Solanum lycopersicum: one gene and its partner. The protein of the gene in region 2 interacts with the protein of the main gene of each other region in a pairwise test. Links are inferred from orthologs where the notes say so. Each region holds a gene or a part of one and is shown on either strand. Other genes may lie near its edges.

Region 1 (4,371 bases), on a different chromosome or scaffold from region 2:
ACTGCAGCAGCCCTCATCCCACTGTAGCGACGACACCACATTGGCTTAAAGTCCCGCTTTAACAATATTTTTGAAATAGTGAGCTCCCCAATTGAACTTACGATTTTAAGTCTCGTCTCGTCTGCCATATCGGCCACTATTCTGCTACAGCAACATGGACCCTTCTACAACGGCAAAAATCGTGACCAAATGTTCTTAAAGGAATTTCAATCCCCCCTTTCACAACACACCTCTAACCAACGACGCTCATAAAAAACCTTTCACGCTAAGATCAATTCTCAGAGATCTACTCATCTAGATTCAATTTTGTAAAGCCGTACGAATTCCTTAGCGAGTTATCTAATCACTTATGCAATCAAAATCATAATTAAATTATTAGATTGCTAGCGTATTTCCCTATACCTCAAGTACTCTAATTTCGTTCAAATTTGGATAAGGTTGGAAAAAATTCAAATACTATGAAAAGTTTTTTCGATCACAATTTTTTTTTCATTGGCATTTCTATAAAGATGGAATCCAGTCGTTGCAATATGATAGTAATGTATGTGTAGTTAGGTAGTTTTCCTAGAAAAAAATTAAGTGGAGCCCATTTATCGGGTTTATTTAGGGAATTTTTATTAAAATGCACAAACTGGTTTGTTAATTAGGTAGGAGTCCTTCAAGTACTAAAAATTAGGTAGAAGAGACAAATAATATATATTAGGTTAAACGATGTTTTTACAATAGTCCCAAACTTTTCACTTTAATACTTTAGTCCAATAATTGTCGTAGTTGTCAGACAACTTCTTTTGTCGTCCGACAACTATCATAATTGTCGGTACAACGTCTTTAGTCGTTTGACAACTTGAATAGTTGTCCAGACAACAAAGATGCTATTAGTTTAGTCCTTCTATTAATATTAAAAACTAAAAAGAATGTAAAAAAAAAGGGCCCACTTGTCTTGAATTTTTAAGAAAAAATTATATATACTGACAAACTAATAATTCAAATTAAATGCTATAACTACACTTTAATTTAGTTGTGCCCTATAGTAAAATGTTTGTCAGTCGCCTCTCTCCCTCAAACTCTCACTTGCCACTCTCCTTCTCTCACTCGCTCCCTCTCACTGTATACAAGCACAAATGTATAAAATTTGTTTGTGTTCGTATAAAGTGAGAGAAAATTGTATATATATATATATATATATATATGTCCTATACACTTATAATTATACAATACAAATATTCATCTTCCCAATTTTCTTTTGTCTTTCTTTCTTTCTCGTTTTATACATACAAATTATACAATTGATCTTTTGTATGCAACTGCTTTCTTTTGTATATGTATAACGAATTATACAACTAGTTTCTTTGTATATGTATCGCGAATTATACAAATGATTTCTTTGTATATGTATAACGAATTATTCAATTTTATTTTTTTATATGTATAGCAAAATATACATATTTATGTTTGCTATGGAATGTAATTACGTAAAGTATAGCTATAATATATGACAATGAATTTTATGTTTGCAATATATGAAAGTTAGTCTTTAAGATACTTTTAGCTTATTTTTTCGTTTATTTAATTGATAAATAGTTAAAAGTTGTTGTGAAGTAATTTATCTCTACCATTATTAACTTGTTTAAACCCTTTGAATAGAATTGAGATAGGCCTTGAAGAATTTGAGAAAGTAGAGAATGGCGTCTTCTTCCACAACTCTGGGCATTTCCATTAGACTTGGATGTTCCAGCAATGAACATCTCATGTTGGTTCATCCCAGAAGCAGAACTAACATCGCCTTGCTATTTCATTCTTATTCCTCTCGTCTTGTTACTTTCTCTCGCCGTCGAAACAATTCTGCTATCACTTCTTCCAACAAAAAGAAAAAGGTACTACCTTTGTAAAAACCAGTTTTATTTATACATTTATTTTGATATTTAAAGGGGTAGATGTTATTCTTTTAGATTATCTTGTGGGTGGGAAGGAGGGAAAATTGAAGAAGGGCAAGAATGAAAATGCCTTTACTAGGGATTAGAGTATTTGAGCAGAGCAATTCTTTTTTTAAAAAAAATAATAATAAGTACACATGAAGAACTTAGGATAGTTCTTTTTAGAATTAGTTTTTCATAGAGAAGGTATGAAATATTAAGTTAGAATTGAAAAGAAATTGAAGTTTATGAAAGTTTTCTAATCTGGTAGTATGCTAAAAATTCGAGCCTAAATTTTGTTTCCTACTGATTCCCTTCCCATGGTTCCCATTGAGCAATTTTCTTGTGTTTTCTGAAATAGGTTGTTGTTTATGAATTTGTTATTTACTTGATCATTTGAAACTTTAATGTGCTTGTATCTGTAAGTAAGTTATGCTTGGCAAACATAGTTAAGGGATGATTGATGGTGGCACCCCTGGTGGACTAGACACGAGCAATTCTGATTTATATGTTTGTTTTAGGTAGTACCAAGTTAATACCTATTGATGTAGTTGAATAGAGCAAAGAAAAGTGTCGTACATTGCTGTGACTTTTTGTTTTTGTTTAACATCAGAAAGAAATTGCACCTTGTTGGCTCGTATTTCAACAGCAGTTGTTGCTCCAGTCAACTTACTTGTCCAGTGTTACTTTGTAGGTTTTACAGTTGACAAGATGGTTTACAAATTTCTTTGTTTTTGTAATTATGCCAAATAGTTTTGACCTGCTTGATCTACTGCCCTTCTGCTTTTAGTATAAGGGTCAATACCAGGAGACAAATCTTTTCCGTGTAATTGTATAGAGTAGTGATTTTCCAATCCATACATGTAACAGTAACTTTATAACTTTTACAGTTGACGAGTTGGTTTAGATTTTCTGCAGCTATTTTATTCTGGTACATGTGAATATCCATCAAAGTGAAGCCTGACCCATGAACTTCTTCTAGTGCACGTTAATGTCCATCAAGAAACCTTTCTTAGGCTGATGGAATTCCTTCCTGTCTTATCTTTTCTGGGATGTGGATTATAATCTCCTTTTAGTTGGCCTTCTGAATGTACATGATTTTTAATGTGCTTTGTTTTTTTGAGATCTTTCACTTGAATATTCAAACTATTTTCCTCGACTAGAAGTTTTTTAGAAACATATCTTTGTTTTGCTTTATTGGACATACTTGCTCACGAACTTTGATATCATCAATAACCTCTTCTTTACAGCTCAATTATTGTATTTCACAGCTTTTACTATTGTTTACTAAACCCGAGGCTCTGTTTGCTTCCTGTTTAGAGTCCACCTAGGAAAGATACGGAGGAAGTTGGTGATATAGATGAAGATGCTTTTGAGGCACTCTTTCAGCTGCTGGAAGAAGATCTGAAAAATGATGAGCTATCCTTGGACGATGATGATATAACTGAGGAGGACCTTGCGAAGCTTGAACGTGAATTGGAGGAAGCACTGAAGGATGATGAACTACTAGGAGAAATTGACTCAATTGCCAATGAGAACACTGAAAGTAGTATGGCTAAAGATGAAGAAGCAGTAGCAGAAGATGCCAATGGAGATGATGATGATGAAGATGTAGATATGCTAGTGAAATTGAAAAATTGGCAACTTAAGAAACTGGCATATGCCTTGAAAAAGGGACGGCGTAAGTTAAATGTAAGCTGCAGTCTTAATCTAGTCTTCTCAAATTCAGATACCGCAATTATATTACAGCTTCTCACGACTCATAAGTTTTAAGGCCACTTTGGTTGTACTCTGGCTCTTTGCGCATTCCAGCATTAAGCATATGGTACTAAGATCATTTGTGGTATCTATCCATGTGTCTGAAGTTTTCTAATGCTTGGGCAAAATTTACCTCTGCTTATCTCATCTTTCCTATGTATTCCCATTCTTCAGATTCCGTCGTTTTTGTAGCATATAGCTGGACATCTGCTTTTGGCTTGCATTGAATTCTTGACGTTAGTTTGTGAAAACTATATTATTTACACCGGAAGCTTATTATTGATTATTTTTCATTTGGTATTCAGCTTTCTGCTAGATAAACTCATCATAAGTATAGATTGGAAGTTTCAGAACCTGTAGCAGAATTAGAAGAGCAGAAAATGAAACTGCTTCTTCTAACCGCTACTACCTATTTAAAGATAATATGTCTAGTGGTGATAAGTTAGAACTTATATTTACCCTTCCCGTCCAGATAAAGAATCTTGCTGCTGACCTATGCCTTGATAGAGCTGTTGTTCTTGAAATGCTTCGCAATCCTCCACCAAATCTTGTGTTACTGAGTGCTGCCTTACCTGATGAACCTGTTCCCAGAATGTTAGAGGCTGCAAGCAAACCCCTGGAGACTGTTCCCATCGAGATGAGTGATGCTGTGAAGCCAGATGCTAAGGTGGAAACGCCAGTTCATGTGATGCAAAGTAAC
Region 2 (4,454 bases):
TAACCTTGTACTTTCCAACAAGACAGATCACCCCCCATCACCGGGGCTGTGGTCATCACAGGTGATAAACCGCTGAGTGTTTAATTTTCCCTTTAATTTAATGTGCATTCACCGACTTACCTTTGAACATTTCCTCTGGGCTTGGCTATTAGACACGACCTGGAGTAAACCAAAGAGGTGCTTTTGATGTCAGCAAAGGATCTAATTCAGTTAAAGGTGGCATGGAACTTGGAAGGTTGGTGTCTTCCACTCTTCACAAGCGGCTAATGCTTTTTCACCTGTGACAGGATGTACTTACGAGGGTGGACTCCCTATAATATGATTTGTACGAAAAAATTCCCTGTCTAGATTTACCAAATGGTCATTATAGACTTGGAGAAAAGATATGTAAGATTATCTAGAAGCCTGAGTAGAAATTTCTTGGTTGTATTCATCAGCTTGTTGCATTTTTCTATTGCTTGCAGTGGAAGCAGATCTGCCATTGTGACCAATACTACTGTGAAGATCATGGTTCCTGAAAACATCATCGGCTGTGTGTATGGGGAGGACGGGAGCAACTTGACTCGTTTAAGACAGGTATGTTGTCCCTTTCCCTTTATTAATTAGTTTTGTGGAAGGTACATGGGATTTTTAAACTCATATTTCTTCGTACTTCCATTCATTTTTGTGCTGGTGATTGATCTTTCTGAGGAACTGAATCAGATTTCAGGAGCTAGGGTCATGGTACATGAGCCCCGTCCTGGAACAACTGACAGGATTATCGTGATCTCTGGGACCCCAGATGAAACCCAGGCAGCTCAGTCTCTTCTTCAGGCATTCATACTGACTGAATAACCGTGAACTTAACAAAGAGGATCCCAATTTTGTATACTGAACTAGTACAGTTAGAACTATGTCAACAGCCAAGTACACTTTTTATTTTGTATACTATGTTGTGATGAGTCTGATGTTTGTTTATTTTTAGATAGGGTATTAAACATTAGTTTTTTGGTCTTTAATATGTTAGGAAATAAGAAATTAACTTGGTATTTATCCAATTTGACTATGCCGTCAACATGAGCAGAAGTTTTTTCTTACATTTGAAAGGGGATTGATTAGTTGACATCTTTATTTGCTTGCATCTGATAATCTTATAACAACTAGAGAAACTTTTAACTACTTTTATTTTGCATAGTAATGTAGGCCTGAGATGAGTTTAGAGTGGAGAAACATGGTCATTATTGATTAATATAGTTTGTGTTTCCAATATTAAATTTTGATTTCATTTATTGAATAAATTAATACAGTTCGTCGTATGACATATGAAAAATGACAACAAGGATGACATTACAATTCCTTGATTTGGTTCAATTAAGAAGCCTGATCTATGCCCTAGGAAATAAACTATGGTAATACGGCTTGAGTGTTATCACGCGTTTAAGCTAGCTTTTGCTTTGATTTAATTATTTATTTTTTGATAAATATATATTTTTTCATATATAAATGATACATATATTGCAAATTTAATTTGACTTATCTTTTATTTTCAAGTCAAAATAAATGAAAGTAACGATACTATCTTTAAAAAAAATTAAATGATGTTCATCATTTGGAACAATGGTTTGTTTACATGGACGAAACTCTTGTTGTCGACCCCATTTTTGGGGCTTAAGGATTCGGGTTTGTTTGGATATGGCTAAAGCTTATGGAGCTAGATTTGTTGGATCATAGTAGCTGTGTGGGGGTAATAACGTCTTTTAGTATTTTTATTTTTTAGAAAATATAAATCAACGACGTCAAAAATGGCAGAAGCAAATCGCAGAGCTAACATGTACGGACGGGAGACGATGAACGCTGCACTTCACCAAGATAGACACCAGCAAACTCAGATCGACGACGACGATGATGACGACGTCGTCGCTGCTGTCGGTGGCGGTGGCAGTGGTGGGGGAGGAATAGAGTCTATGGACAACCCTACTCCTCACATTCGCTACGACCAACATCATCACTCTCATTCTCACGCGCTTCACAACGGCGGCGCCGGCGGTTCTATGGAGATGAATGGTGTGGAAGGTGTTTCTCATAACGCCTTGTATGGTCCTCCTTCCGAAATTGTTCCTACTGCTGGTAGTGGAGCTTCCGATCAGCTTACGCTGTCGTTTCAAGGCGAAGTGTACGTTTTTGATGCCGTTTCACCTGAAAAGGTATTTCTTTTACTTTGACCTCTCTTTTTGTGCTTACTAAAAATGTTTGCCCTCTAATTTGTGCATCTTGCTCGTTCTTGTGTAGTGTGTTCTTTTATAAGTTTAGCTGAAAAGGTGTTTCTTTTAATTAGCGAGATTGGTCTGCATTTAATTTTTTTGTGTTGCTTGGATTCTTGCTTTTTTTGTGTCTGTCTACAAGAGATTGAGTGACTTAGGGGGAAGGATTTTCAATTTTAGAGATGGGGATAATTCTGTATTTGGCCAAAAGTTCTTGCCTCACTCTCACTCGACTTTTGGAGTTGTTGAGGTATTTCAAGACTCCGAAACTGGTCGTTTCTGAGATTAGATTGTATTTGATTGGCGAATTGGTTAGTGTGTACGGTGAATTGTTTGATATTGATCAAATTATGAAGCAAAGAGGCCATGCTGATCTTTTTTATCTTCCACGAGTAAGAGTGATTCTCACTGGCACGATTTTAGTATCACTGTAATTAAAATCTATGCACCGATGCTGAGTGAGGGGTTATCGCTCATAGGTGAAGTCATGCACTTCATAGAAGTGTTAAAAATGATGCACAGAGTGATCCAAATAAGAAGTCGTTGATGCTCTGAATCTCAACTTAGAAGAGTAAGATTTATGGATACTGAAATTAGTTCGTTTTATTGCAATCTGATCGTTACAGTGCTAAATTCACATACTTAAGAATTTTTTTTGACGTTGAGAATTGTGTGTTTCACTTCAAATGTGTGTGCTGTTTACTTCTCACTTTTCGCTTCAAGCTCCATGGTCCTTATTGCTTTTTTTTGCTCTTTTAGAAAAACTGTTTAGTATATGTATCAGGTAGTGGAATTTGATTCACAATTAGTGGATTTAAAACTTCATTTTGATATTTACAATAATCTTAATAGGGGTAAATTCTGTTTTTATGTTTATTGAGTTTTAGGTTCAGGCGGTGCTGTTACTGTTGGGGGGATACGAAGTCCCTCCTGGTATCCCTGCTGTAAATGTGGTTCCCCAAAGTCAGAGGGTATTCATCTTTATCTTCCCCTTACATTTTTTTACCAGACTGGTGGTTTATAATCAGTTATGGCACTTCCGCGGCAATATTCACAGGCTTCAGGTGACTTTCCTGGAAGATTAAATCAACCGGAAAGAGCTGCTTCTTTAAATCGTTTTAGGGAAAAGAGGAAAGAACGGTGTTTTGATAAAAAGATCCGCTATACTGTGCGGAAGGAAGTTGCGATGAGGTAATAAAACTGTAGTTTTTAATGCATGATGTTGTTTTGTCTGCTTGTTTGAACCATATTCGGAACTAGGTGGAGATAATGTGCAAATTGATGTCTGTTGCGATAGATGTCCCATCTGTAATTGTCCATTCGCTGTGCTAATGATTGATAGGACTAATTCACCCTTCTAAATTAAGTTGACAATAAGAGTAGGAAAGACATTTGCAAATTGTTATACACGAGGGGCGTCTAGCTCTGCGGCAGATGCTTTATATCAGCTTTATGCATTGCTTGAACTATTTGACTGGAATGGTGTAGGAGGTGTTTTGAAGGCAAAAGGAGCATTTATCTTAAAGCAACATTATTTTCAACTGGCTGACCTGCTGGACTTGGCGAATGCTACGAGTCAACTCCAACTTTTTGTAATTTTCTACAGAATTACCTGAAAAAGTAAAAAAGAGTGGAGTATGTCATGACTGAAATATGGCAGGATCACCTGAGGTGCATCTTACTTTATCTTTAAAAAGCAGAGTGCCCCCGAGCTGCACACACTTATTTCATATCTAAGACATTGTTTGAATGTGAATATGTAATTTCTAAATGACCTGACTGCTAAAAAACAGTTGCCGTGAGACAAAATTCTCACTTCCTCTTTACCTTAGGTTTGTGTATAAGAAAAGGTCAACTACAGCATTTTAAGGAATGAGGTAGAACTAACTAAAGAATGCTATAGCGAGGACATTGTAGTGCACTAGGTTGACATTGGAAATATAATAGGATAATTAGTGGTGAAAACATTATCCTATAAGAGGGAAGGGAGGTGTAATAGTATTTAAAGGATGAGACATGACCTCCTACTGAGCGCCTTATATTCTATCAATGCAAATGTCCCATAGTTTTGTGGACTTCGGAGCATTGGTACAACTGGCGCTAAAGTAGTGCACTTCATTATATGAAAACTTGAAATTATTGTCCCCCAATCCTTGCTCTAGTGATAAGAACACAGTCTGTGATGTGGGGGTTAGGCGCACTCCACAAATTTAA

Evidence for each region.
Region 1: the proteins of GATA transcription factor 24 (region 2) and protein OVEREXPRESSOR OF CATIONIC PEROXIDASE 3 interact in binary tests that used the Arabidopsis thaliana proteins (3 or more experiments, as listed by UniProt). The link is inferred for Solanum lycopersicum from reciprocal best matches to the Arabidopsis thaliana genes ZML1 and OCP3.

Annotation. Positions count from the first base shown.
Region 1 is NC_090807.1:48,217,599-48,221,969, reverse strand, and holds the start of protein OVEREXPRESSOR OF CATIONIC PEROXIDASE 3, read left to right. Parts: upstream 1-1,568; 5' UTR 1,569-1,682; coding exon 1,683-1,874; intron 1,875-3,233; coding exon 3,234-3,605; intron 3,606-4,143; coding exon 4,144-4,371. UniProt on the Arabidopsis thaliana protein: May modulate chromatin structure by regulation of nucleosome assembly/disassembly.
Region 2 is NC_090800.1:90,035,841-90,040,294, forward strand, and holds the start of GATA transcription factor 24, read left to right. Parts: upstream 1-1,590; 5' UTR 1,591-1,781; coding exon 1,782-2,183; intron 2,184-3,127; coding exon 3,128-3,211; intron 3,212-3,297; coding exon 3,298-3,431; intron 3,432-4,454. Other genes in the region: KH domain-containing protein HEN4, read left to right, coding at 1-61, 153-235, 465-576, 703-834. UniProt on the Arabidopsis thaliana protein: Transcriptional activator that specifically binds 5'-GATA-3' or 5'-GAT-3' motifs within gene promoters.